Linked DNA regions of Struthio camelus. The protein of the gene in region 3 purifies or fractionates together with the protein of the main gene of each other region. This does not show direct contact. Links are inferred from orthologs where the notes say so. Each region holds a gene or a part of one and is shown on either strand. Other genes may lie near its edges.

The links.
Region 1: the proteins of LGALS3 (region 3) and ECE1 purify together in Homo sapiens (affinity purification with mass spectrometry; 3 studies listed by BioGRID and IntAct, counting the BioPlex papers as one, with this or other methods). This does not show direct contact. The link is inferred for Struthio camelus from reciprocal best matches to the Homo sapiens genes LGALS3 and ECE1.
Region 2: the proteins of LGALS3 (region 3) and SLC12A7 purify together in Homo sapiens (affinity purification with mass spectrometry; 3 studies listed by BioGRID and IntAct, counting the BioPlex papers as one, with this or other methods). This does not show direct contact. The link is inferred for Struthio camelus from reciprocal best matches to the Homo sapiens genes LGALS3 and SLC12A7.
Region 4: the proteins of LGALS3 (region 3) and SLC15A4 purify together in Homo sapiens (affinity purification with mass spectrometry; 3 studies listed by BioGRID and IntAct, counting the BioPlex papers as one, with this or other methods). This does not show direct contact. The link is inferred for Struthio camelus from reciprocal best matches to the Homo sapiens genes LGALS3 and SLC15A4.

What each region holds. Positions count from the first base shown.
Region 1 is NC_090962.1:8,911,892-8,918,798, forward strand, and holds the start of ECE1 (endothelin-converting enzyme 1), read left to right. Parts: upstream 1-3,904; 5' UTR 3,905-4,397; coding exon 4,398-4,529; intron 4,530-5,893; coding exon 5,894-6,035; intron 6,036-6,131; coding exon 6,132-6,344; intron 6,345-6,907. UniProt on the Homo sapiens protein: Converts big endothelin-1 to endothelin-1.
Region 2 is NC_090943.1:78,880,111-78,887,051, forward strand, and holds the start of SLC12A7 (solute carrier family 12 member 7), read right to left. Parts: upstream 3,017-6,941; 5' UTR 2,887-3,016; coding exon 2,748-2,886; intron 1,175-2,747; exon of another isoform or gene 1,129-1,174; intron 1-1,128. UniProt on the Homo sapiens protein: Mediates electroneutral potassium-chloride cotransport when activated by cell swelling. May mediate K(+) uptake into Deiters' cells in the cochlea and contribute to K(+) recycling in the inner ear.
Region 3 is NC_090946.1:79,452,740-79,459,765, forward strand, and holds the start of LGALS3 (galectin-3), read right to left. Parts: upstream 3,010-7,026; 5' UTR 2,918-3,009; intron 2,021-2,917; 5' UTR 2,017-2,020; coding exon 1,999-2,016; intron 1,542-1,998; coding exon 1,176-1,541; intron 880-1,175; coding exon 791-879; intron 671-790; coding exon 502-670; intron 1-501. UniProt on the Homo sapiens protein: Galactose-specific lectin which binds IgE. May mediate with the alpha-3, beta-1 integrin the stimulation by CSPG4 of endothelial cells migration.
Region 4 is NC_090958.1:14,967,551-14,974,509, forward strand, and holds the start of SLC15A4 (solute carrier family 15 member 4), read left to right. Parts: upstream 1-3,940; 5' UTR 3,941-4,009; coding exon 4,010-4,588; intron 4,589-6,959. UniProt on the Homo sapiens protein: Proton-coupled amino-acid transporter that mediates the transmembrane transport of L-histidine and some di- and tripeptides from inside the lysosome to the cytosol, and plays a key role in innate immune response.

The DNA.
Region 1 (6,907 bases), on a different chromosome or scaffold from region 3:
GCGGCTCCAGCTGGGAATTGCCCCAGGTGCCCCTGGCAAGTGGCAATTAAAAGCTTGTTAAAAAGCTCGTTAGCCCGGCTCATCTGCATAAAGCAGAGATGGCCTTGCTGTGAGGTTGTGCTGTTACAAAGCCAGTCAGGATCGGGAGGAGAGGGGGGGGAAAAAAAAAGCTGCAGCCGGCAAGAAAAAGGTGGGAAAAAAAATCCAAAACCTTTCAAGGGACTGGTAAATCTCAGCTCTCTGGCCGGGTTCAGGCAAGGCAGCGGCTGGAAGGGGGCAGAAGCAGGGGCAGACGCATGCCTGTGTGCTTGCACATGTGCAGCTCCGGATGTGTGTGTATGTGCATACTTGCACAACTGTGTGCTTTGGATGCTTGCATGTGTGCATACTTGCATGATTGGGTGCTTGCATGTGTGTGTATTTGCATTATTGTGTGCTTGTGTGTGTGCATACTTGCACAAACACATCCTTGGGTGCCTGCATGGTTGCACTTGCATGGTCACATGCTTGGGTGCTTGCACATGTGCATACATATACAGTTATGTGCTTGCATACTTGCATGACTGCATGCTTGTGCAATTGTGTGCTTGGATGCTTGCACATGTGCATGTCTGTGCAAATTGCATGCTTAGATGCTTGCAGGATTGCATATGTGTATGGTTGCATGTTTGGATGCTTGCACATGTGCATACTTGCATGGTCATGTGCCTGGATGCTTGCACGTGTGCCTATTTGTGCATTTGCAAGCTTAGATACTTGCACGAGTGCATGATTGCATGGTCATGTGCATGAATGCCTCCATGAGTGCATACTTGCACGATCACGCGCTTTGATGTTTGCATACTTGCACAGTGGTGTGCTTGGATGCTTGCAGGTGTGCATACTTGCATGACTGCATGCTCAGCTGCTTGCATGTGCACATACTTGCTCAGCAACATGCTTGGGTGCTTGCACATGTGCCTATTTCCGCAGTTGCATGCTTGGATGCTCACACAAGTGCATACTTCCATGGCCTCGTGCTTGGATGCTCGCACACATGCATACTTGCACAATCGCATGCTCGGACGTCTGCAAGTATGTGTATGTGCACATTTGCGCGCTTGCGTGTGTGCAGACTTGTATGGTTATGTGCTTGGATGCTTGCACACATGCATGCTTGCACACTTGTGTGCTCAGATGTTTGCATACGTGCACAGTTGTGTGCTTGCATGTGTGCAGACTCGCATAGTCACGTGCTTGGGTGCTCGCACACATGCATACTTGCACGATCGTGTGCTTAGATGTTTGCACGTGTGCATATGTGCACAGTTGCGTGCTTGCGTGCGTGCAGACTTGCACGGTCATGTGCTTGGATGCTCGCACACATGCATACGTGCACAATCGTGCTGGGATGTTTGCGTGCGTGCATACTTGCCCGACCCCATGCTCGCATGTGCACATACGTGTGCGAGTGTGCGTTTGGATGCCCGCCTAGGCGCCCACGCTCGCACATAAGTGCACGCTTGCGCGCCTGCATCCTCGCACGCTTGCCCAACCGCCCGCTTGGCGATACCCGCGGCGTGGGAAGGGGCCGGGCGCGGGAAAGCCGGGCCGCGGGGATGCGGCGGGAGGGGGGGGCCGTGCGCGGAGGGCCCCCCCTCGGCCTCCCGAAAGAGTTAAAGGCGGCGAGCGCGGAAGCCCGGCCCTCCGCCGGGCCATTGGCTTTCCCGGCCCAGGTGCATCCTTCGCTCCCTAGGCCGCGGCGGCGGCGGCGGCACGGGCGGCCGCCGAGGAGCCGGGACCATGGTGAGTGGGTGCCCACCCGCGACCCCCCCCCCAGCTCGGGGTTGGGGAGGGGGCGCCTTTTAGCCGCTTTTCCTCCCCCTCCCTCCTATTAATTTATTTTTTGGCAAAACTGAGATTTTTTTTTGTTTTTTTCCCGCTCCGCTCGAGGTGGCCGAAATCCCCCCAAATCCTGGGGGCCCGACCCGGGCCAGCGCCGGGGTCCCCGACCCCAACGCCGCCCCCGCTAGCTCCCCCCCCCCCCCCGGCGGCCTCCTCAAGCCCTGGCGCTGGGTGCCGCGGGGGGCTGCGCGGGGCAGGTGCGAGCGATTTTGGGGCGCTTCAAGGCCCCAATCGCGGGTTTTTCTTCTTTTTTTTTCTTTTTTTTTTTCTCTCCCGCGCCGGAGAGGGGAAAGCGGCTGCGAAACGGCGCCCGGAGCCGCCGCATCCGAAATGGCGCCCGGGAGGGAGCCGGCAGCGGCCGCTCCCCACCCGCGCCGCCCGGACGCCGGGGCCCCCCGCCCCGCCGGTACCCCCCCCCCCCCAAAATCAGGGCGCCCAGGGGCAGAGGCGCCGCTCGCTCGCCGAGCCCGAGCGGCGGTTTTTTCTCTTTCTCCAGAGCCAATCTTGGGGGGGGGGGGGGGGGGTTAAAATTTTTTGAAGGAAAAAGGGGCGATTTGGGCAAAAGAGCCCGTCTGGGGGCGCCGCTGCGGCCCGAAGCGCCCCGTTTCCCGCGGCGTGAGCGCCCACGGGTGCCCCGCGGCCAGGCCCCCCGCGGATGCTCCTTTCGGCCCACGGCGGGCACGTCGGTTTTGGGCGCCGGCGGAAGGCAAAAAGGAAAAACGCCTGTTGTTTGTTTATTTATTTATTTTCTTGGTCTTTAACTTCCTCCTTCCTCTCCGGCCGGCGCCAAGGAGGGTTTGGGGGATTTCTTTCTTTTTTTTTTTTTTTTTCGTTCTTTTTTTTGTCCCCCTCCTGTCCCCACGCGATGCCGGGCCCCGCGGGTGCTGGGTTACAGCCGCCGAGCCGGGCGGGGGGGACCCTGCGGCGGCACCGCCGCTTGGCCCCGCGGTCGCCCCGCTTCCGGCGCCGGGGTGGCTTCGCTGCCGTCTGCTCTGGGGTTGTGCTCGGGCCGGCCGCCAGCGAAAGCCCGGTTTTTCCCGGCGTTTTCGAAAGAAAGGGAGCGCCCAAGGCGCGTTTCCGCAGGAAACCGAATTGGAGCGCTGGCTGGCGGCTCCCGACTCCGGGAATTTGCCTGGGACGGGGTTGGGGGGGGGGGGATGCGCGGGAGCCGCGGGCAGGAATTTCACGCCCGCAGCTGCAGATTTCAGCCCGGCATGTGGCGCAAAAACAGCAGGAAAAACCGAGGGAGGATGGAGGCGGGGGGGGGGAAGCGGATTTTAGTGATAAGAATCCTGCCGTGGGAGCTTTTGCCCCTTTTTTTTTTTCCTTTCCGGCGCGGTCGGCCCGTCGAGGGGGGCCGCGGGCGCGAGTTTGGGCCCCGGCGCTCACCTCCCGGCCCATCTGCACAAACAGCTTTTTCGGCCCCGTTTTTTTTTTTTTTGTTGTTGTTGCTGTTTTGGTAGGTTGTGCAAGCGCCCGTGCCGGTCCGAGCTATGCGCCGGGGGCTAATTAAATCCAGGGCCCTGGCGGTGTCCCGTTAGCCGGGGCGGTGGAAAGGATGGGCTCAATTATTAATTGTGCAATCGGAAAAACTGGCTCTAGGCAAGGCCGGCGGGGGGGCCTGCGCGAGGGGCTGGCCACGAGCGTTCCCGCGGGAGCGCGGCTCCGAAAAATCGGGGTGGGGGGGAAGAAACACCCCAGCCCTGCAGCTGGCCGAGGGAGGCCGGCTGGCAAAGGTTAACGGCGTTGGCGGTGTGTGGGAAGGAGGCGTTGGCGGCCGGAGGGGAAGTTCCCACCTCTGGGGCCCGTTGTTCACCCCTGCGGCTGAGCCCTGGCACTTTCATTTCACTCGCCGGTTCTTCTGCGCGGTGCTGGTGGGAAAACTCCCTGGCCGGGTAAGTGTGTCCCCCTGCTGCCAGCGCAGTCTTTGCACAGTCTCCCCCGCCAGTCTGGCCCGGCCGGTTGGGCAGTGGGGGAAACTGAGGAGCGGAGCCAAGCGAGCCGCTCGGGAGCATCCTCCCCTGCAGAGCTGGGTTGCTCTGGTGCCGTCCCGCTCCGTGCGCTGCCTCAGTTTCCCCTCTGGGAACGCGCTTTGCGGCAGCGCTGGGCAACCAAACCGAATCACGGAGGCGCCCGGGGCCGTGGTCAGGCCCGAGGGCGCGAGCAAGGCGGTAGCCTCGGGAGGAAACGCGCTTGGCGGCTGCCTGCTGCTTTCTCCGGCGCCATGGTGGGGGCTGGGGGGGCAGCAAAAGCAGCGCTCGCCTTCCCCCGGGGAAAGGGAAAGTTTATCTCCGGCTGTGGAGAGCTTGCGAAACCTGGCGGTGCGTTGGGCTTCGCTCACTCTTTGGCCTCCTGAAGTCCCTCCGGCGCCTAATTGTGCAGCTGCTTTGCATCGGGGAGGCAGTCCCCCGGAGGGGGGAGTGTTTATAGCCTGGCAGGGCACGTGTCGCCTTCCTCTTCCTCTTCCTCCTCCTCCTCCTCCTCGCTGGGCCCGGCATGGCCGGGGCGCCCCGATGCCAGCAGCAGGGACGCTGAGGGCCTCCGCTCCGCTTTTCACCTTGCAGATGTCGACCTACAAGCGGGCGACGCTGGACGACGAGGACCCCTTGGAGGCCGACGGCGATGCCTACCCCAATGGCTTCCAGGTAGGGGCCGGGCAGGGTGGGGGGATTTTTCGGTGCTTGTTTTGCTGGGCTGGGCAGCGCCAGCTTCCCGCCGTCCCCGGGGCAAAGTCCCGGTTGGGATGGCGTGGGCAGGTCCCCGCCAGCTGCCCTTTGCTCCTCGCCCTCCAGGGTTGCAAAAGCCCCCCCAAAAAGGTGAGGGAACAACAGCCATCTGGCGAGGGGATGGCAAACACCGGGCCGCCCTGGCAATGTGAGTCCTTTGCGGGCCCCCGAGGCAGGGAGAGTGAGCCGCGGAGATTGCGGCGCCAGGGAGCAGAAGGGAAAGGAAGCGCGGGAGCTGCCTGCCGAGAGACGCGGCTGATCCTCCGACCCGCTCGGCACCCAGGCGAAACCCTGTCGCGGCCCGGCCGGGGCTGGTTCATCCCGCTGGCCAGCGGAGCCTGGCTCGGGGTCCGGGAGCTGCGAGGCTTTTGCCGAGCAATTATCGCGCTGGACGGGGAGCTTTGTCCTCACATAAAAGTCGGATTAGGCTAATCCGGGCGCGTTCCTCCCCGCGCGGTGGGAGAGCCGCTTTGAAAGGGGCCGTGGGTGGCAGGGAACAGCCGATGCCCAGAGAGGCGGTGGCAGCGCTGCCGGCTCTTCAGAAATTCAGGCTCGCACGGAAATATTTGGGGCCTGCCCGGCCACAGGTGGGGCGAGGGAGCGGTGCTGAGCGCTGCGACTGGTGCAAGGAGCCTCCCCACTCAGGAATGGCTTTTCCTGCCTCGAAAGCAAAGATCGCGTTGCTCTGCTGCACCTTTGCTTCCCACGCTGGGGGCTCGAAGGGCAGCCGAACGCGCCAGGGCTCGTCCTTGCGCCGGGACGCGCGCTGAGAGCGCTCTGACTTTTTTTTTTTCCTGCCGGATCGGTGAGCTGAGCCGGCTCGCTGAGCTTTCCCAGCTCTTTAAGCGGCTCGGCCTCCGCGAAACGACATTGATGCCGCCACTTTTGGGTAAAGCGGTGCACACCGGCGATGGGTGCAGAGGACCAAGCTCCGGGCTTTTGCCGCTGACGACTTTTTTTTCTGCCCGGGCGGCTGCGACTCACCGGGCTCCGCGTCCTGCCAGCGTTTCCTCCCATTGTGCCGCCCTTCCTGGTGGGATTTGGAGTCGCGGCCTCGTTCCCGACCCGGCGCGGGCCGGCTCGCTCCACGTGGCCTCGATTCAGCCCACGGGCCGTAAAGCGGAGGGCGGCTCGGAGGGCGGGAGCGCGCTGGTGGGTTTTTCCCACGGTCCCCTGCTGCCGGTGGGTTTTCCCTGCGGCCCCGTGGGAAAACGCCGCTGCTTCTCCTGTTGATTTTTTTTGTTTGTTTGGCTTTTTTTGGTTTTTTTCCCCCCGCCTTGCAGGTGAACTTCCGCGGCTCGCGGAGCAGCCCGGGCTGCTGGGCCGAGCGCACGCGCCTGGAGAAGCAGCTGGCCGCGCTGGTGGCCGTGCTGGCCACCGTGCTGGCTGCCTGCCTGCTGGGCCTCATCTTCCAGTACCGAGCCCGTAAGTCGGCGCGTGTCTCGTGGCGGACAGCGGGGGCAAAAGGGGCCGCTGGCCCGGGGTTTGGCGCCAAGCTTGACCCGCCGTGCCGCCCTCCAGGGCCGCCCGCCGTGTGCCTGTCAGAGGCGTGCATCTCCGTCACCAGCTCCATCCTCAACTCGCTGGACCGGGCGGTGAACCCCTGCGAGGATTTCTTTGGCTACGCCTGCGGCGGCTGGATCAAGGCCAACCCGCTGCCCGACGGCCACTCGCGCTGGGGCACCTTCAACAACCTCTGGGAGCACAACCAGGCCGTCATGAAGCATCTGCTGGGTGAGTGGCTCGGCCGCGTGCCCCGAAACACCGGCCGGGGCAGAGGAGCCCTGCTGAATTTGGGGACCGCGGGAAAATTTGCCTCTGGGGATTTAAGGACGGAGTTGAGGGACCGATGGGGCTCGGCTTGGCTTTCCTTGGGGAGAAAAAGCTCCCTGGGCGAGCAGCAGCCAGCGGGGACCCTGGCAGGCAGGTGCGCGGGGACGCTGTCCCCCCTCCACCGCCGCGGCCCCCGTCTCCGCTTCGCGCCCTGTGCGAACGGAGCAGGTGGCAGCTTCTCCGTGGCCGACCCGTGGGGAAGTGTTTGCTCAGGCTTTGAGCAAACAACTGGCTCCTTATCAGCGCTTTCCGCTGGGGAGGCCGTGCCGGGCGCTGGGGGCGACGAGCCGAAAGGGAAGAGCTTCGGGGAGGGAGAACGGCCTTGCCGCCCAGCCGTTCCCGCAGAAAGCTGGCACGAGGCTCGCAGCGAGAAGGGAGCGGGGCCGCCGGCCGAGCGGTCACGCTCAGCACTTCCATTAATGCCTCTTCACGAGGGGATCCAGGTTAACGAAACCCCTGCCCAG
Region 2 (6,941 bases), on a different chromosome or scaffold from region 3:
AAAGACAGTAAGGACAGCCAGAAGTATGCAACTGTTTCCATATAAGGAATGACTAAGTAAGTTTTCAGTTTGGAAAAAGATGACTGGGTTGAGATGGGACTAGAATAGGGGTTTTAAGTGATCTGGAGAGGGACGGACAAGAATTAGCTTAGTTTGATGCCTCTGATCAGGTGACTGGTTCAGAAAAAAGTAAATCTGCAAATAAATAAGGTGACTTGCCACTGAGCCGCAGGACTTACTGCCACAGAGGCTGTATGTGCAAAACTGTATGCGCAACCCTCCCTGGAACCGACAAGAGAGTAGAAGAGAAATCTTCTCAGCGTATTTAGAATACAAGTCTAGAATTTAATCTACAGATCTGAACTCACAGAAATGGGGAAGGATCTAGCTTCAGAAGCCTCTTCTGTTTCTGAGCAGAAATGGTAGCAGCCTGGGAGAGCATGTGGAAACGGTATCAGGTTTGCCAGCTCATATCCCCATGCATATCCCTCTACAGCACACTTTGGCCAGTACTGGAAGCTCTACGGACACAACTGACGAAGCACACCAACAGAACAAAGACAGATACCCGTAATACATGGAGATAAAATTAAAATCCCCAGTTTGCATGTCTCAGTGTTCATTTCCTTATAGTTTCTCCAGTCTTCTGAAGGGGAATACAAAAATATAATATAGTATTTCTGTGCAGTAGTTTTTGAACCGCAGACCAGATATAGACTGGTTCCATGTCCAAGCAGAAGCTGGCTGAGCATACACTACAGCAGGCAGCGAGATTAGTCTTTGTCTGCTAGTTACTATCTCCTGACCACCCTTCTCTTCTAGTGTTTTAGAAAGCATATTAAATGAGGCAGGCAGATATAAATTCCTCATGTTACCTTGTATATATGCGAGACAGCAGGCTCCCACCGTCAACTACACTGAGGCGTTCAAACATTAAGTTGTACCCTACACCTCTGCTCTTCACCAATGCTGCTGAGACCAGAGCTCTAGTTCAGCCAACTGGTCACTCACCTAAGCTTTCCTCACCGTCACACGTGCAGGAGTAGCACGCAACTAGGAAATACAAGGCTAGCATTTCAGATGTTTATGAAGGAGCGAACAACACGGAGCAAGAATATCCTGGCTTACCCCATTCTTGGGAACGAGACGAGTATCAGATGAGAATCTGTGTACAGTAAGAAGGGCAGGGAATAACTGATCAACAGCTTGCTAATAAGTCACCAGGAACTACTTGACTGGTGATCTAATGACTAAACAGCAGGGTGGGTGGGTTATTTAACAACGCACTAGTGCAGTCAGGGTAATTCCAGAACAATTACTCTGTTTTTAAGCCAGGCAATTCAATCAAAACCGTTAAATTTCTAGATAGCCTAAACAAAAAGAACAAAGTTACCTACTGAGCTGTACACCTTATGGGGGAACCCACCAGGAAAGGTCGCACTCCCACTGCTGTTCAGCCACACGGACCAGCCGCCCACCTCGAGACAACCCTGGCAACCCTTGAGACAATCTCAGGCTTCTTGCAGTGCTCATTCACCTCGCTAACTCCAAAGCGGGGGAAGGCTGTTTTTCCTCTGCAAGAGCCGAGTTTTCTGCTGGTTTAGCATGTTGAACCAGCTCCATGAGGTATCTGACAAGCACTAGGGTCAAGCACCCAGGAAGGGAAGGGAGCTGAGGAGGGGGGATGGAAAGGAGGAGTGTTTCTTCCTACCCTCTGCCCAAGAGCTGAGGGCAGAGAGAAAGGCAAGCACTGCCCCTGAGCAGCAGGTCGTGAGATGGGTTTAACCACGAGGACTTTAGAAGCAGTACTGGTATTTTAGAATTCATTACAGTTGTCAGAGGAAGGCGTCCAGGCAAACTAGTTGACTGTACAGCAGGAATCTAACAACTTCTGTGCCTGACAGGTCCGCGTGCCACAGATGTCCACATGACACCGGAGGCAACGTGAAGTACGTGGCTCCTCTCCCAAGCCTCCCTACGGCTCTAGGGCATTTCGTCTCTGCTAGCAGACCCTGAGCTCCCAGAGCAGACCCTGTTTTCAAGTCGAGGCCTTCTCCAGTCAGCGCTTTCCCCTCTACTCCTTATTTTAGGGATACATTAAGAGAGGAGGGAAAAAAAAGAGAGTCCTACTTAAGTTCATCTTCTCAAGCAACAGCGCTGTACAACTGTAGATGGGTTAGACTTACTTTGCAAGCATCAGCCTGCACAAACCCTTACTTACCCACACGAAAAACTAAGAATTCTTGCCGTTTTAACGATTAGAAATAAACCACTATGAAAACGCGAGTTCCACTCTTCCCCCCCCCCCAAAAAGGGGGTTTCCTCGTGTCCCAGGCCCCCCAGAAACCGCACCCCTGACCACACCACCTCACGCGTGCTCCTCCCTGGCGCAGGCTGCACAAGGCGCAGCGGTACCGGCCGCACGAGCCTCTTTCGGGCAGGCCGGGGGGGGGGGGGGGGGGACGGGACGGGACAGCGGCGGCGCTGAATCACAGCTCTGCCCGCCCGGGCGGCAGCGCAGCCTCCAGGCCGCCGCGGGACGCGCCCGCCCGCCCGCCACCCCCCGGCGCGATGCTGCCCCCGGGGCGACGCCAGGCCAGCCCGGCCCCGGCCGCCGCCTCCCGCCTGCGCAGGTGGGCGCGGAGCCGCCCCGCTCCGCCGAGGGCAGCGCGACCCCCCCCGGGCCCGGCCCCGCTGCGCCGCGCAGCCCTCGCCCAGGTGCCGGGCGCCTCCCCGCCCCCGCTCACCGGCGCCGCGCTCCCTCTCCTCGTCCTCCTCCTCCTCCTCCGCCGTCGCCTTCAGCGGCTGCCGGCGCCCATCGCGCTCCGGCGGGTCCCGCTCCTCGCCCTGCGCCTCCACCGGCACCACAGTGAAGTTGGTCGGCATGGCTGGTTGCCGCGGAGCTGCCGCCGCTGCCGCCTCCTCCGCGGCGAGCCGGGCGCTGCCGCCTCCCTCACGTGAGGGCCATTTCCTCACGCAGCGGGGGGCGGCCGCCGCCGCCGAGCCGCCTCCCCCGCGCCCCGCCCCGCCCCCCCGGCGGCGCGGCTCCAGGCGCCGGGCCGCACCGCAGCGCACCGGACCGGATCGGACCGGACCGGACCGCGCCGGCCACCCCGGGCGGCAAGCTGGGGGGAGGCGCCGCGCCGTGCCGTGCCGTGCCGCGCCTGGCTCGGGCTTACACCCGCGGCGGCTGGGCGGGAGGTTTCCGTCTGCCTGTGGGTGTGCGCTGCCCCGCTCCGTGGTGCTCGGCGCTGCCCGCGGCCCGCCATGGCCCCCCCCCCCCCGGGCGCTACAGGGGTTTCCTCTCGGCGGTGAAATGGCGCCTGGCGAGTGCCCGGCAGCAGCAGTGGCGGCTGGTGCTGCTCGGACCCCAGCGGGCAGAATGGGTCTTCCAAAGGAAGGCAGAGCCCGGCTCGGGGCCTGGGTCCTCCGGGTCTGAAGGGGGGGAGCAGCATCCAGACGGCCCCAGCAGGAGCTGTGCAGGTCGCCTTTGGGATGAGCGCAGGAGAAAGCCCTCAGGGCACCTTGAGGCCACCGTGGGAGGAAGGTGGATCCCCGAAACCTGCTCTCCTGTGCAGCAGCCAGGGGTTGCAGGTGGCCGTGAGCCTGGCGTGCAGCTGATCCCAAGAGACAGCAGGGATCAGCAGCGTATCCCAAAATCAGGATGAACGATGTGGCATCAGGGACGAGCTGTAGCTCTTGGTTACCCTGAGCAGGGCTGTGCCCGCTCCGCTGGGACATGGCCCTCTGTATCCCTGCCTTTCGGGAGGAGACTCTGAGGGGTTTGTGGGTCCCATGCTCGGTGGGGTGGATGGTGTCTACTCAACGCTAGCGCCTCTCCCATGGAGCGGAGGCCTCCAAGGAAGGGAGGTGGCCACCAGAGGTGATAGGGAGATGGCAGGCGTTGGAGGTGGGCTGGCAGACGGCAGGTCAGGCCAGCCAGGGAAGGGGAGGAGAGAGGCATGATAATAGCCTGGTATCCAGTAGGAGCTCATTCAAGCCTTCCTGCAACCACAGTGATGGGAACGGTGGCTGCACGGAAAAGGAGCTTCTGTGCTGGGGACCTGTGTCTTCATCCTCTCCCACCTTTTTCTAGGCTCGAGAAAGCAAATGGGAGGGTGACTTTGTTAGTAATAGCAGATTTCTAATCCGTTACTGGTGTTACTACAGAGGCAGGGATGTTTTTGCACTTTTTTCACTTTAAATCTCATTTCCTCGTCGTACAGGCTATTATCAAAATTAATGGTGCTGAGAAACCAGGTGTGATAAATTAGAACGGTAGATGTAATTAAAAAGCATATCTGGAAAATAATAACTCCCTCTCTGCAACACAGACTGGCCGCCGTGCAATATATAAGACATGGGACTACGTGCTGAGCACTGAGAAGAGAAGAAAATTCTAAATAGCTAAATATCTAAACAGATCATTTGTTAAGTACTTTGAGAAGTCCACCAAAAGAAACTCATTTACAATAAAGAAGGTGAAAACTGTGTGACACAGTGCATGCATGAAAGGTCGTGGTGGGGAAATTGGGATTGCTGCATTAAATTTGAACTCAGCCTGATACAACTTTTATGTAATAGCTCAGAGCCAGAGAAAGAGACGCTTTGAACCAACGTTTGCATGAGCAGAGGCTGCAGTTTCTCTTACAAGTCCCTTCTGCTTCCTCTGCCATAACCACAGAGAGCCATTTGATGAAAAATGGAGCAGGGATGGTAAGGTCGTGCAGGGGTTGTGCGTCCCCTGTCATCTGAGAGCTTTGATTTTTGAGCCTCACAAAAGTCTTTGCACAATGGGGACCTGAGACCAGCAAAAGTACCTTAATTGTTAGGTCAATTTATTTTCATTTCCTTTCAAATAGTATGAGATAAGTAGGATTGTGATACATGCAAGTTTTAACACTAGAGTAGCCTGATGTTACCCTTCTAGGAATAAGAAATAAGAGAAACGCAGAATAAGATTAGAACATTGTATAGACCTGTGTCTAAAATACAGAATGCTGTAATCATGGCATTAAGGTTTTTCTTAAAGGATTAAAAAATAAAAGCTTCAGATTGGTGACACATTAACTTAAAACACAGAGCTCTGGACCACCACCGTCTTTCTCTGCGGTGAGGTAGGAATGCAGCAGGTACACCATGGATTCAAGCAGACATATCCAGATGGACCTTGAAAAGGCATTCCTTTTGTTAACAAAAATGCGGTTTGGGGAGAGTATTCTACCGAGCGCTCAGAAAAAACTGAACACAGAACAGAAAAGGAGATGTGAAAGTATGATGAAACTAGCCTACATACCAAGAATAGAAAAAGGATTAAATGAATGCTAATTATGAATAGGTTATACATTTAAAACAAGACAGCAGCTGAAGGAAATTAATAATTTTGTTAAGCCATTAAAAAACTTTAAAACTCTTACTGCCTTTAATATTATTGAGATTTTAGAAATAAATCATTGGCAAACAAAACAAAAAAAAACCAGTTACTGTCACAGGAAAAAAGTAAATTCAAAAATAGCAAGGTAGGAAAGAAAAATGTTTAATATATCCAGCTCATAGTCTATGTGACTGACACAATAAAAACCTTTTTAAGAGAAAGTGATGCATTAACTAAAATTAGACACTTTTCAACTCATCAGGGCTTATACAATTTATGTACAGGAGTCTTAAAATGACTCCAAGCCAAGGACCTGTCTGAGTCAGGAATGCTAATTTTTTAGATCTCTTGAAAAGTTGGGAAAATTCCAAAAGATTGAATGATTGCCCATATCAATACCTAGGCTTCAATACCTAAAAAAGGGGGAAAGAGTGACTCATGAAAGTTGAGCTAATTGGCTCGATACTAGTTCATTTTGTTCTGAGGAAAGATGATTGAATTTCTTCTGTTGTTACAGCCCACGTGAATATAGCCAAGACGTTGATTTGCTACCAATTGAAATTTGGTTGGAAACTCCGTGTACTCCGTGTACTTTGCACATGTTTCAGGTTCCTGACAGATCGCAAGTGTTAGCAGAGGCGGAAAGATATCAAAAGGCAAGACAGGGAGCAAGGCAGATGAGGATTTGCTCTGACACTTTAATATGTTCTTCAGCCATTTAGATTTTCTGGTAAAATCTGTGGGTGATAGAAAGATTGAAGTAATAAGCATGGGGGGGCAATGTTTATAATACAAACTGACCAGATAAAGACATTATAATATAGCCATAAATACAGCCGAGGATCAGGACTGCAGTAAGAACATTTATCTTGAGAATGACTCAAAAAAGGATGTGGTGTTATCCATAACAAATAGCTTAGTATGATACCTTTGCAATCTGAAGGTTGCCCTCAAACGGCTAGACCTCCCTGACCTTTCCAATACTTCTGTCTCATCCTATGACCAATACCCAAGCCAGCCACACTGTGCTTTTTGTTTCTTGGGTGGAAACAAGTGTTTCCCAGGCTCCTGTGCACCATGTCAGGTGGAAGTGCTCTAAAATTTACTTTGTTGAAAACTTGCCTCTCCTCAGTGACCCGGGGGCGTTGCAATCTGCCATCACATGGCTCCTTACAGTCTGTTATCACTGCCACCAAGAACGCAGTTAGATTAGCACGTCACAGGGCACTCCAACATCTTGAAAGCTAGAGTGTTCTCATTGCCCCAGGGCTCATACCTAGGACATTTCTGTAGAGATGCTGCAGTAGCTTTCCATATTTATAGTGATCATTAAGACATGCCTGAAGCAAAGTGTCAGGCTGTGCACCTTAGCATGCAGTCAAACCATGTGGAAGTGGAAGCCTTATGACAACCTGACGCAACTCGACCTTGCCAATGTAGTCAGTGCAACTGCTGAACTGGCATTTTTGAGGCAGATTGAACAAAATCAAAATTTTGTAGTCACATTGGTTTGTGGGATGAAAGCAGCAGCAGCTTCAGCATTCCTGTGTGCCTGCTCTGTTATAAA
Region 3 (7,026 bases):
CTAAGAGGGAGCAGATTCGTGTGGGAAAGCATCAAGGTCCTTATAGTTATTCCCCACCTCGTTACACAGCCCTGATGAAACAACTCTGCCAGCATGTGGTAGGGGTGCTGCTGGCACGTTAACAGCATGTTGGTGCCACCAGGACATAACTTGCAGGTGGATTTTCGAGTTACCGCTCTCAGAAGACACACATCTAAGGGGCCCAGCTCCACCAGCCATGTGGGATCTCCAAGTCCCAGCTTTGGGGCTGACGCAACTTTCTGCCCAGACGTCTGCAGGGATAAAGAGCTACAACGCCTAACATGCGGCAGTGATGGTGTCGAGTCAAATGAGGGACTGGAGTGGCTGAAGGCTTCTGTAATAAACTGCTTTTACAAGCAGGTAGAGAAACTGCATTTTTCAGACAGGAGAAAGGGTGTGTCTGTCCGTCTGTCATGTACCGAACAAATTGGCCCTTTTGGGTGTGGTTAAGGGGTTTGAGGGGGTTTTTTTTGCGGTTACCTTGAAGGGTTTTCCAGCTTCAAAGGGAAACCTAGGTGCCGTTCTCTCCTCCTTTCCCCAGTTGTTCTGCAACATTGAATTACAGACGATGACTTTTCTGTTATCCTCGTTGAAGCGGGGATTAAAGTGGAAGGCAATATCGTGCCCTCGCTTGAAATCCAGGGAAAATCTGCAACGACAGCAAGGGTTTAGCCGCTTTTGCCGCGAAAGCCCCGGCCTCTGTTACAGGGCCTGCCGAAAGCAGCGCTGCGCCCGCAGGGCTGCTGCTGGGTGCTCGGCGCCCCGCTACCTGTTTGGTTTTGCGTTCGTCGTCCCCGTGACGGTTATGAGCATCCGCGGCATGAGGCCCGCCTGCAGCGGCAGCTCGAACGGGACTTTCTGGGAAAGAGCAGGGATTTGGCGTTGGCGGGAAGGCACGTTAACATACAGCCAAAGCCCAGGGCTCGGGCGCGGGCTGGGGGGGGGGTCTCGAGGCACAGCAGGAGGCTGTGGCTTCACAACATCCCGGCCCATCGCTCGCGTGTCCCCGCAGAGCCCCCCCTCCCCGCGCCACCAGGGTGACGTGGTGCTTGGCCGCCCGCAGGCCCCCGTGAGCCCACGGAGGTGTTCGGCTCCCGCTCGGGGCCCCTCGACCCCTGCGGCCAAGCACGGCTGAAACCCGACGGAGCCGTTACCATCGATGCGGCCCGTCCCTCTTGCGGAGGAGACGGCCCGAAGCCAGGGCCGCTGGGCGGCTGCGCCGGGGCAGGACAGGGCCCTGGTCCCGCTGGCGCTCCGGGGAACGCTCCGGGTGCTCCAGGGAACGCTCCAGGTGCTCCAGGATACGGTCCCGGTCCTGCTGGTGCTCCAGGATACGGCCACGGTGCCCCCGGATAAGCTCCCGGTGCTGCCGGCGGCCCCGGGTAGGTCCCCGGCGGGCCCGGATACGCCGGGAAGGCGCCGGGGGCCGGCGGCGGGTTGCCCCAGGCGGCCGCGGGCCAACCTTGGCCCGGGGGAGCGCTGGGGTTCGGGCTGTTCCCGCTGGGCAAGGCGTCAGAAAGCTGCACGGGCAGAGGAGGAGGGTTAGGAAGGAGACGGGAGGGAGCGAGAGGAGAGCCGGGAGCGAAAGCTGGGCGGCCGGCGGACGCGCTCCTAGCTGCCGGCGGCGGGGAGAGCGCCGTCTCAAGCGGCTCTGGGTTCGTTTGGGAGCGGGACGCTCCGGCTCACGAGTCCCTGCGGGTCCCCCGACCGCCGCGGGCTTTGGGGCAGGGTCTTGCCGTCTTTCGCGGCCGGCATCGCACGCCAAACGCGGCCACGCAAGCGTCCGTGAGCAGCTAACGCGATTTGAGGTTTCCAGGAAGTGGCTTAGCGGTTAGCGTGGGTCTAACTAGGTCGGGGAGTTAGGCAGGGTAGCAAAGACTAGTTCTCGTTTTTGCAATAGTCCCTCCACTTCCGTGCAACGCAACAGCGACGGGCCCGGCTTTTTTTTTTTTTTTCCTTAAAAAAATCAGTACTTACGGAGAAACCGTCTGCCATCTTCCTAGAATAAAAAGACGAAGGGGCGGTCAGTCGTTTTTATCAGCTGCCACCCGAGAAAAAAACCCAGCGCTGCAAAGCCGCAGATCCCAGCGCCGCGGTCTGAAGCGAGGGGCACGCGACCGGCCTGAGAAAGCCGGGGGCGACCAGCGCCAGCAGCGGCCGCGGGACACGAGCTGGCCTCGTCTCGGCCGGCATGCGCCGAAGTAGAAAGGGCACCGGGCTGAACGCCACCACCACCACCGGCACTGCTACCACTGCTGCCACCACCGCCACCACCACCACCGGCACTGCTACCACCACCGCCACCACCACCACCAGCACCGGCACTGCTACCACTGCTGCGACCACCACCACCACCACCACCACCGGCACTGCTACCACTGCTGCCACCACCGCCACCACCACCACCAGCACTGCTACCACTGCCACCACCACCGCCACCACCACCACCGGCACTGCTACCACTGCTGCCACCACCGCCACCACCACCACCAGCACTGCTACCACTGCTACCACCACCGCCACCACCACCACCAGCACTGCTACCACTGCCACCACCACCGCCACCACCACCACCGGCACTGCTACCATCACCACCACCACCACCACCACCACCACCAGCACTGCTACCACTGCCACCACCAGCACCACCACCACCACCGCCGCACTCAGCGCAGCAGCCAGGGGCCGCGCAGCCTCGGCCGGGGCCGCGCAACGAGCATCGTTTCCTCCCGACCCGCGGCCCGGGCACGGGGGGGACCCGGCCCCGGGGGGGCAGCGGGGCCGCTCCGACGAGCTGCGGCCGGAGCCGGCACCCGCCGCGACAGGGCGGCTGGAGGCGGCGCTGCCACCGCCTGCGGGTCACCCCAGACCCCCGGCCCGGCCCGGCGCCGCTCACCTGCGGGCTGCGCTCCCGGCGGCCCCGCTCCGGCTGCGCCTCCGCTCCGGCTCCGCTCCCGGCGGCGGCGGCGGCGGCTCCTGTCCCCGCCCGCAGCGGGGCGGCCCCGGCGGGTCCCGGCCCGGCGCGGGGGGAGCGTCGGCCCCGGCGGCGCCTCCCAGCGCCCGCTCCGCCCCCGGCCCGGCCCGGCCCCGGCTGCCCGACAGCTCGGTACTAACCCACCGCCCAACCCCGGTACTAACCCACCTCCTCACCCCGGTACTAACCCACCGCCCCACCCCGGTACTAACCCACCTCCTCACCCCGGTACTAACCCACCGCCTCACCCCGGTACTAACCCACCTCCTCACCCCGGTACTAACCCACCGCCTCACCCCGGTACTAACCCACCGCCCCACCCCGGTACTAACCCACCTCCTAACCCTGGTACTAACCCACCGCCTCACCCCGGTACTAACCCACCGCCCCACCCCGGTACTAACCCACCTCCTAACCCCGGTACTAACCCACCGCCTCACCCCGGTACTAACCCACCTCCTAACCCCGGTACTAACCCCCCGCCCAACCCCGGTACTAACCCACCGCCCCACCCCGGTACTAACCCACCGCCTCACCCCGGTACTAACCCACCGCCCTACCCCGGTACTAACCCACCGCCTCACCCCGGTACTAACCCACCTCCTCACCCCGGTACTAACCCACCGCCCCACCCCGGTACTAACCCACCGCCTCACCCCGGTACTAACCCACCGCCCAACCCCGGTACTAACCCACCGCCTCACCCCGGTACTAACCCACCTCCCCACCCCGGTACTAACCCACCGCCTCACCCCGGTACTAACCCACCTCCCCACCCCGGTACTAACCCACCGCCCAGCTCGGTACTAACCCACCTCCCCACCCCGGTACTAACCCACCGCCCAACCCCGGTACTAACCCACCTCCTCACCCCGGTACTAACCCACCGCCCCACCCCGGTACTAACCCACCGCCCAACCCCGGTACTAACCCACCGCCTCACCCCGGTACTAACCCACCTCCTCACCCCGGTACTAACCCACCGCCCAACCCCGGTACTAACCCACCGCCTCACCCCGGTACTAACCCACCGCCCCACCCCGGTACTAACCCATCTCCTCACCCCGGTACTAACCCACCTCCTAACCCCGGTACTAACCCACCGCCCCACCCCGGTACTAACCCACCGCCCAACCCCGGTACTAACCCACCGCCTCACCCCGGTACTAACCCACCTCCTCACCCCGGTACTAACCCACCGCCCAGCTCGGTACTAACCCACCGCCTCACCCCGGTACTAACCCACCTCCTCACCCCGGTACTAACCCACCGCCCAGCTCGGTACTAACCCACCTCCTCACCCCAGTACTAACCCACCGCCCCACCCCGGTACTAACCCACCGCCTCACCCCGGTACTAACCCACCTCCCCACCCCGGTACTAACCCACCTCCTCACCCCGGTACTAACCCACCGCTCCACCCCGGTACTAACCCACCGCCCCACCCCGGTACTAACCCACCGCCCAACCCCGGTACTAACCCACCGCGCTAACCCCGGTACTAACCCACCGCCCAACCCCGGTACTAACCCACCGCCCAACCCCGGTACTAACCCACCGCCTAACCCCGGTACTAACCCACCGCCCAACCCCGGTACTAACCCACCGCCCTAACCCCGGTACTAACCCACCGCCCAACCCCGGTACTAACCCACCTCCCCACCCCGGTACTAACCCACCGCCCTAACCCCGGTACTAACCCACCGCCCAACCCCGGTACTAACCCACCTCCTAACCCCGGTACTAACCCACCGCCCAACCCCGGTACTAACCCACCACCTCACCCCGGTACTAACCCACCGCCCTAACCCCGGTACTAACCCACCGCCTCACCCCGGTACTAACCCACCTCCTCACCCCGGTACTAACCCACCGCCCCACCCCGGTACTAACCCACCTCCTCACCCCGGTACTAACCCACCGCCCTAACCCCGGTACTAACCCACCTCCTCACCCCGGTACTAACCCACCGCCCAACCCCGGTACTAACCCACCGCCCCACCCCGGTACTAACCCACCGCCCAACCCCGGTACTAACCCACCGCTCCACCCCGGTACTAACCCACCGCCCAACCCCGGTACTAACCCACCGCCTCAACCCGGTACTAACCCACCGCCCAACCCCGGTACTAACCCACCGCCTCACCCCGGTACTAACCCACCGCCCAACCCCGGTACTAACCCACCGCCTCACCCCGGTACTAACCCCCCGCCCAACCCCGGTACTAACCCACCGCCCAACCCCGGTACTAACCCACCGCCTAACCCCGGTACTAACCCACCGCCCCACCCCGGTACTAACCCACCGCCTCACCCCGGTACTAACCCACCACCCAACCCCGGTACTAACCCACCGCCCCACCCCGGTACTAACCCACCGCCTCACCCCGGTACTAACCCACCGCCCCACCCCGGTACTAACCCAACTCCTCACCCCGGTACTAACCCACCGCCTCACCCCGGTACTAACCCACCGCCCCACCCCGGTACTAACCCACCTCCTCACCCCGGTACTAACCCACCTCCTCACCCCAGTACTAACCCACCGCCCCACCCCGGTACTAACCCACCGCCCTAACCCCGGTACTAACCCATCTCCTAACCCCGGTACTAACCCACCGCCTCACCCCGGTACTAACCCACCGCCCCACCCCGGTACTAACCCACCTCCTCACCCCGGTACTAACCCACCGCCTAACCCCGGTACTAACCCACCGCCCAACCCCGGTACTAACCCACCGCCTAACCCCGGTACTAACCCACCTCCTCACCCCGGTACTAACCCACCTCCTCACCCCGGTACTAACCCACCGCCCTAACCCCGGTACTAACCCACCTCCTCACCCCGGTACTAACCCACCTCCCCACCCCGGTACTAACCCACCGCCCAACCCCGGTACTAACCCACCGCCTCAGCCCGGTACTAACCCACCGCCCTAACCCCGGTACTAACCCACCGCCCTAACCCCGGTACTAACCCACCTCCCCACCCCGGTACTAACCCACCGCCCAACCCCGGTACTAACCCACCTCCTCACCCCGGTACTAACCCACCGCCTAACCCCGGTACTAACCCACCGCCTCACCCCGGTACTAACCCACCGCCCCACCCCGGTACTAACCCACCGCCTCACCCCGGTACTAACCCACCTCCCCACCCCGGTACTAACCCACCGCCTAACCCCGGTAGTAACCCACCGCCTCACCCCGGTACTAACCCACCGCCCAACCCCGGTAGTAACCCACCTCCTCACCCCGGTACTAACCCACCGCCCTAACCCCGGTAGTAACCCACCTCCTCATCCCGGTACTAACCCACCGCCCAACCCCGGTACTAACCCACCGCCTAACCCCGGTACTAACCCACCGCCTCACCCCGGTACTAACCCACCGACCAACCCCAGTACTAACCCACCTCCCCACCCCGGTACTAACCCACCGCCTCACCCCGGTACTAACCCACCGCCTCACCCCGGTACTAACCCACCGCCCCACCCCGGTACTAACCCACCGCCCAACCCCGGTACTAACCCACCGCCCCACCCCGGTACTAACCCACCGCCCTAACCCCGGTACTAACCCACCTCCTCACCCCGGTACTAACCCACCGCCCCACCCCGGTACTAACCCACCGCCTCACCCCGGTACTAACCCACCGACCAACCCCAGTACTAACCCACCTCCCCACCCCGGTACTAACCCACCGCCTCACCCCGGTACTAACCCACCGCCCCACCCCGGTACTAACCCACCGCCCAACCCCGGTACTAACCCACCGCCCCACCCCGGTACTAACCCACCGCCCTAACCCCGGTACTAACCCACCTCCTCACCCCGGTACTAACCCACCGCCCAACCCCGGTACTAACCCACCGCCTAACCCCGGTACTAACCCACCTCCTCACCCCGGTACTAACCCACCTCCTCACCCCGGTACTAACCCACCGCCCAACCCCGGTACTAACCCACCGCCCAACCCTGGTACTAACCCACCTCCTCACCCCGGTACTAACCCACCTCCTCACCCCGGT
Region 4 (6,959 bases), on a different chromosome or scaffold from region 3:
CCGCAGGGGAACGCTGTTGCCAGAGAAAGTCTCCCGAGGCAGTTCCTCAGCTCCACCACGTTGCCACGTGCCTCCCCAGACCCAAGCAGTTAGCTTTCAGTGCAGGAGCGGAGAAGCAGCTAATCATGAATCAGAGGCCAACAACCAAAAAAGCCAAACGAACGTGCTAGTACAAAGGACAAGGCAAAAGCACGGTCAGAGACCAGGCTGAAGGTCGGGGAGGCCAAACAAAGAAGCAGAACCTAAGATACATAAGTTAACCTTGGCAAAGCCCAGATCAGCAAGCACAGCCTCCGCAACAGCAAGCAGGCTCCCGAGTTACAATCACATAAAGCAAGGACAGGGCAAAGAAAGAGCCCAAACTCAAGAACAAGAGGACAAGAGGCCGGTCTTAGCTGCTTGGGAGACTGATAGGGGCCAGGTGGCTGACTGCAGATATCCACAGAGCCTTGACCTTGAATCAGCATTTTGCAAAAATGTTGAGAAAGAGTACAGGGCATTTGTGAGGGTGAGATAGGCCCCTGAAAGGAGTGCCTGATGCAACAGAAAGCTCACCTTTTTGCTGGGATACTTTTAACCTAATCTAGTTTGCTGATGTAATTCACAGATGCTTATGTTGCTCTAAGGCTGTGGAAGAGGGTCTGCAAACTGCAGTGCCACTTTATATTGACTTAAGTTATGTAGGACTCTTCAAGTCTCAGTGTCAAGCAGAGGGAGAAAAATACTCCAATTACAAAGAAAGTCTCTTAAATTTAGTAACTCTAAAAATAGCAGTTCTTCAAGTAACTTGAATGGATCTCTGGGGATGGCAGGTATGCACAAACTGAGGGTTTAGAAGTGATGAAGAGACAATATATATTGGAGTGTATTCAGGCAATTTATAAGCATTTTAGTAGGCTGCTTGTGATTTGTTCTTCGTGCTATAGAGCTACATTCAGCTGTCTGAGATTTGCAAAATCTCACTGATGATTATTTAGAAATCATTCGGCACAACACAGTGCTGAGACCATTTTAATGTCCATCCAAGCTAAAAATGCTGGCTTCAACTTAGATGTTAACAGCAATAAATCTTGCATAAATGCTGAAAATAGCGTAACTGCTAATTTAAGGATCACACTATTTTCATCATCATTGTAGAAGGCATTTCCGAGACTTGGCATAAAATCCCAGTTCCATTGAAATTTAGAGGGATTTCTATGAACATGGCCAGGATTTTAGCTTTGAAGTTTGTTTTACTTTAAGCGGCCTGTACCACGCATAACTGGACTTCTGAGAGTTCTGAGATCAAACCTAGCACCAGCCGTATCTATTTCAAAAAGGAAGGGAAGACAACTGCCACAATTGTCAGTCTGTCTAACAGACACGTTTCACACTTACTGCATGAAGCTTATACAAATGCCTTTTAGTCAAAGCAGGGTCATTTTCCAGTTGCATGGCCTAAAGCAATGCCAGAATGTCAGGTTTGGGTTAAAATGAAGCTGTGGTGTTGATTATCTGCATGAGATCTATCTAACTACCAATAACTAGGCCATTGTAACTTTTTACAGCTCAAAAACCAGACAATAGCTATGCAGGAGATTTAGTGTTTAACATAAAAACCATCTCTTAAAAGTAGGAAAATATTTATCAGAAAAATGGAAACATCAAAGTAGATATGGCTTGCTCCACTAATGACCTGAGACAAATGAGGAAGCTTAACCTGTGATCTGGGAAGTAAAGAGGAAAAAAGGAAACATTCAAAGAGGCCTTAAGATGATGTTACTATTTATTATAATGATAATACTCTTTTTGATGATATATATAGACCTTGACTGACAGAATTAACAAACTAAGAGTCTTTGCAGCATTAAGTATTGCTGTGTCTCTGGAAACATATACATACATTAAATACATCACTATATAGACAGAGGTGCACTCATTATATTCAAAGAAAGGGTCATGTCTTTCTTTGTGGATTCCTAACTAAAAGAGGAAGGGGGGAAAAACAATTCTTAATCTCTTTTGCATATTGTTAATATAGCCCTTCTAAAAAAGCCATATTTTAAAGCCTCCCTACTTTGATCAACTGTCACTCAAATCCTTCACAAAATGTTGACTTTCCAAGGAAAAAAAAAATCAAATAGCATTAGGGTGGTATATTCATCATGGATGTATCTTAATGTAGACGTTTTAAATATACTGTAACTAAGTGTTCTTGTTCAGAGAAAAATGAAAAATTACCTTCTGAAGCCACCAAACACAGAAGGTTGAGACGATAATAGCAGCTTTTGAATTCACTTAGACTACTTATTTCTCAATACCTGAAGAGGCAAATAACATTTTTATAATGTGTATCTCATACACTAATTCAGCATTGCTAGGTGTTTTTAAACAGTTACTGGGTAAGCCAAGATAAAATGTCACCACCCCTGCTGAGATAAATTATGAAGGGCCTAGACTGTGATATCTGCACATATTAAAACATGCAATAATGCAAAGTGAGGTTTTTTACTTGGTAGTCTCTGTGAAATACTACTAGACCCCTTAGAAAATGTACTCACATGAGTAGCAACTGCAGGGATTGGTATGAGAAACTGTACTAAGCTGGACAAAGCTGAAATGTAACTGTTTAATTATAAAATCAGTCACATTACAATAGTTAATAAACCAAAAAACAGAGATCTCTCTAGAGCTAATTGTTTGTTCCTCATTGCCCTTTGTCATGAAATTTAACAAGCGAGCACATATATTTTATGAGTCATTTCCATGACATATGTTATTTACAAAGGCCCATCATTCAATGAGTACGTTTCCTTTTACAAGTATGGGCTGCTCAATTACCAAGGCTGCAATATAGTGTCATAAAAATTTCAAGTCATACCGAGATGTTGGGTGTAACTAGATGATGTCAATCAGTCTACCTTTTTCTTGAAAACACGCAAAGAACAGTATCTTTCCCACTTCATTCAGGCCAAAACTAAGACTTTAGGATCACTAATCACTTAAGTTCGTTGTTGAGGACAATTACACGCTTTCGGGATCTTTAACCCGGCATACAGGACGGTGCTGCAAAAGAACACATAGGGCCCCAGTCCCAGGACCACTAACGTGCGTTTTCTTTTTACCGTGTGCTTTCTTCCATTCAGATGTGAGTCTTTAATTTCTTCACGTGTCCCTGTGACATGTTATTACTGCAAGTACCCCTCGGATAAACGTACCTTCAGAGAGCAGATCTAAAGCGCGCCTCCAGCGCGGGTGCTCCTTCGCGGCCTACGCTGCTGCGGACGCTGACGGCGGGCCCGTGCCCTGACGGGCGGCGACATCTCGCTCGCATGAGCGAGAGCTCCCCACGTTCATCTACGTTTTTCTACAGGATGGCGAATTTACTGTGACAACCCTGCTTATTTTTCTACACTTGTTTTTGCCCTTCGGGCTGGGAAGCAAGGTAGGAAAACAAATTACACTTCAATTTTGTTGTTATTGTGGGAGAAAGACGGTGAGAACGAGGGCTTCAACACCAAGGCGTGCGAGCTAAGCGTAGGGAATAAAGACACATAGTCCAGCTAATGCCCTAAACGGGATTCCCGGCTGAACCAGCATTAAACCAGCCTTCTCTGCCGCGCCGCGCTCCTCGCCCTCTTTACCCCGATGTCACCCTAGGGACATCGCAAGGGGCAGTCCTTCCCCGGTAAAGCTCCGGGGGGGCCTCGGCACGGCCCCGGCGCTGATGAAGGGCGGGCGCGGCGCCGGCCGTACCTCAGGGCGCGCCCCTCCCCCCGCGGCTTCCGGCCCGCCACCGCCGCCCGCCCCGCCGCTGTCTCAACCGCCGCTCCCGGTGGCCCGCCCGGCCACGTGACAGCACCGCCAGGGGAGCGACAGCGCCCTCAGCCAATAGCGACGCGCCTCCTCGCCTCGCCCCGCCCCGCCGCGCCAGGCGGCCGCGGCGAAGTTTCCTCCTGACAGGAGCGGAGAGGGAGGGGGGCGGGTGGTGAAGCGCGGCGGCTCGGCGGGGCCGGGAAGGGTCCCCGTCATGGAGGAGGCCGAGCCGGGCGAGCGCACCCCCTTGCTGGGGGGCGGCGGGGAGCGCGGGCGGGCGGCGGCGGCGGGCAGCGCCTTCCAGGGGCGGCGGTTGGCCTGCGCCGCCGTGCTGCTGGCCGAGCTGCTGGAGCGAGTGGCCTTCTACGGCATCACCTCCAACCTGGTGCTGTTCCTCAACGGGCCTCCCTACGGCTGGGAGGGGGCGCAGGCCAGCCAGGCCTTGCTGCTCTTCATGGGCATCACCTACTTGGTGTCGCCCTTCGGAGGCTGGCTGGCCGACGCGCTGCTGGGCAAGTTCGGCACCATCCTGCTCAGCATGGCGCTCTACCTGCTGGGCATGCTGGCCTTCCCGGTCATCGCTGCACCGCACACCCGCCAGGGCCTCTGCGGGGACATCCCGCTGTCCCCCGTGGAGAACTGCTCCTCTCCGGCAGCCAACGCCACCCCGGTGCCCTGCTACCAGGTGGGAGCCACCCGCTACTGTGCCGCCGCCACCTTCGTGGGACTGGTCCTCGTAGGGCTGGGCGTCGGGTCGGTCAAGGCCAACATCACCCCTTTCGGGGCCGACCAGGTCAAGTATCGTCCGGCAGCTGCTGCTGTCGTTGGTGGGGGTAGACCTGGGCCAGGTGACGCGTGTCGGCCAAGCTAATGACTTGCCTGGGTTGGGTGGGCAGCGCGCCGACAGCTCTGCAGGCTGTGAGGGGCTCAGATGGCTCAGCCTGGTCCCCTGTGTAACGCAGGCCAGTGAGTTGTTCTTTGCTAGCTGTAACCTTGGCATCTGGGTGAAGTCTGATCACTCACGACCCCTGGTTTCCTTGTAACCCTGCCTTAGGTGTGGTGCCTGATTTGGCTAAGGCTTCCACAGTCTCGAGGAGCAGGGTTGAATATTCCATAGCTGCTAAGTGAATTGTTAAATATCCTCTGTTGTGGAGTTTATACCCAGCTAACTGGACCTTAGAGCTGATTGGGTGAAAGATCCGATATACACTTTAGTTTTGACAGGGATGGAATGAGCCTTCTAGGGCTGTGATCAGCAGCCTTTACCATCCTTCTATAATAAACATTATAGATGTTATCTAAGGATAGATAACAAATACCATTTGAGGCTTAAGGTATGCTCTGTATACTGCACTGCGCCCTTGAGTGATGTTTTTGTGCAGGCTAATGTTGCTCCAGATGACAGGCAAGAAGGTGCTCTCAACATGGTAAATGTATTACCTGGGCTGTTCTCATAAGGACACGTCTTGTAAAACGACCTTATTCAGATCCAGTTCAGTGAGATCATTCATTGGTTCATCACTGCAGAACTAAGTGTTTTTACAGAAAGTATTTGAGAGAGCTCGTAATTGAGTATCACCTGGTATGCGCTGTTGCATGTGTTTTCTACAATCCTATGCATGGTAAGACAGCATGGTGACTGGGGGTGTTGAATCAGAGTATAATTTTTGCTTTACAAATTGACAATTTCAAAGGCTTAGATACTGAGAAGCTTTCCTAACCAAACAGTTCTTGGTGACAAAGCAGGGAAATTACCTCTAATCCAGTTACATGTCTATTTACTGGCCCATTGAGTTCTGGTTAGTGCAGCTATCAGAAATGCCATGAAATTCTTTGTGAGAGGTAGGTTCTACCACAATGTCCATGCCAAATGTACCTCTATTCTCTGTTGTGCAGTTTACATTTTTCATTCTTTGGCATTTCACATATTATAAATTCTGGAGTTCTGGGTGAAAGGCAGTTCATAAATGTAAAACATTATTATAGCCTAGGATTGTATGTCCCCAAGTGTATTGGTTCTGTTTAAGCCAGCGTGAGCCCATCAAGCGAAATAGCTTTAGTATAACTTTATCTTGTAAGGTGTTTTTCAAAATAGACTGCTTATCCCCAGAACACTTTATGAACATTAAATGTAAGAGATAAATAGTGGCAGAAGGAGAGTAAAAGAAGAACCATTGCCAATGGAAGTGTAAGCTGTTGTAGCTAGCGGTGTTTTTTGTTGTTTTTTTTTTTAGGCTTTCCCCCAGGATTTCATTGAAAACAATTTTTCGCTAGGTTGTAGATAATTCACAGTGATTTATGTGGAGTGAAGCAGAAGAAATTTTCCTTTCTTGTTCTTAATAATTAGGAGTGCTCTGCTGAGGACTGGATTTTTCCCCTTGATTTTCTGGCTTTTCTATTGTTAAATACATTACAGCCTACCATTTACCTTCTGCATTTTTGAGCTCTCTTGGGTGGCTTCTCCCTGCATAGGAATGTAGCACCACTGCTGGGTAGGTGGATACATATTGCTGAGAATAAAGTCTGTCTTCCAGAGTCACATTCTTGGGAGGCCAGCATTCAATACAAACGTGTTTTAGTTGGATTTGTGCTGATAAGCTTTGTCCTCTTTCCCTTAAATACCAAACAAAGGGAAATACTATGAATTGTTTATCATGCACTTTAGCTGACATGAACCAGCTTTCCGATGTTGTTAATTGCATTTCATTGCAACTCTCTTTAAAAAAAAAAAAAAAAATTAACATTTTCAATTTTAACACTAACCTGTATTTGGGCAGAGAACCCACATTTAATGATGTTTTTTGTATTTAGAAGAAAATAATCATTTTAAATGTGGAAAATTGGAAACGTACTTCCAATATTCACTTTTTTCCTGAAGTTAAAAAGATGTAATTTGTTAATTTCTGTTAAATAGACGTATTTAGAAGTACTGTTACGAGTGGCTTAGTATCGAATAGCTTTTGCCAGCCAGTTTAGCAAAAACTAGCTGCTGCAAGCTAGTTATAAACTAGCTTTACTTAATTATGTTCATAAGTAAGAGTTGTTTTTCTGAAAGCTGCAAATTGATCCAACATGCTGATCTAAATCTGAACCTGATGGTTCTCAGAATAGTGTTTATAAGCATGTGATATACATATAAATATATATATATATATATATAACCT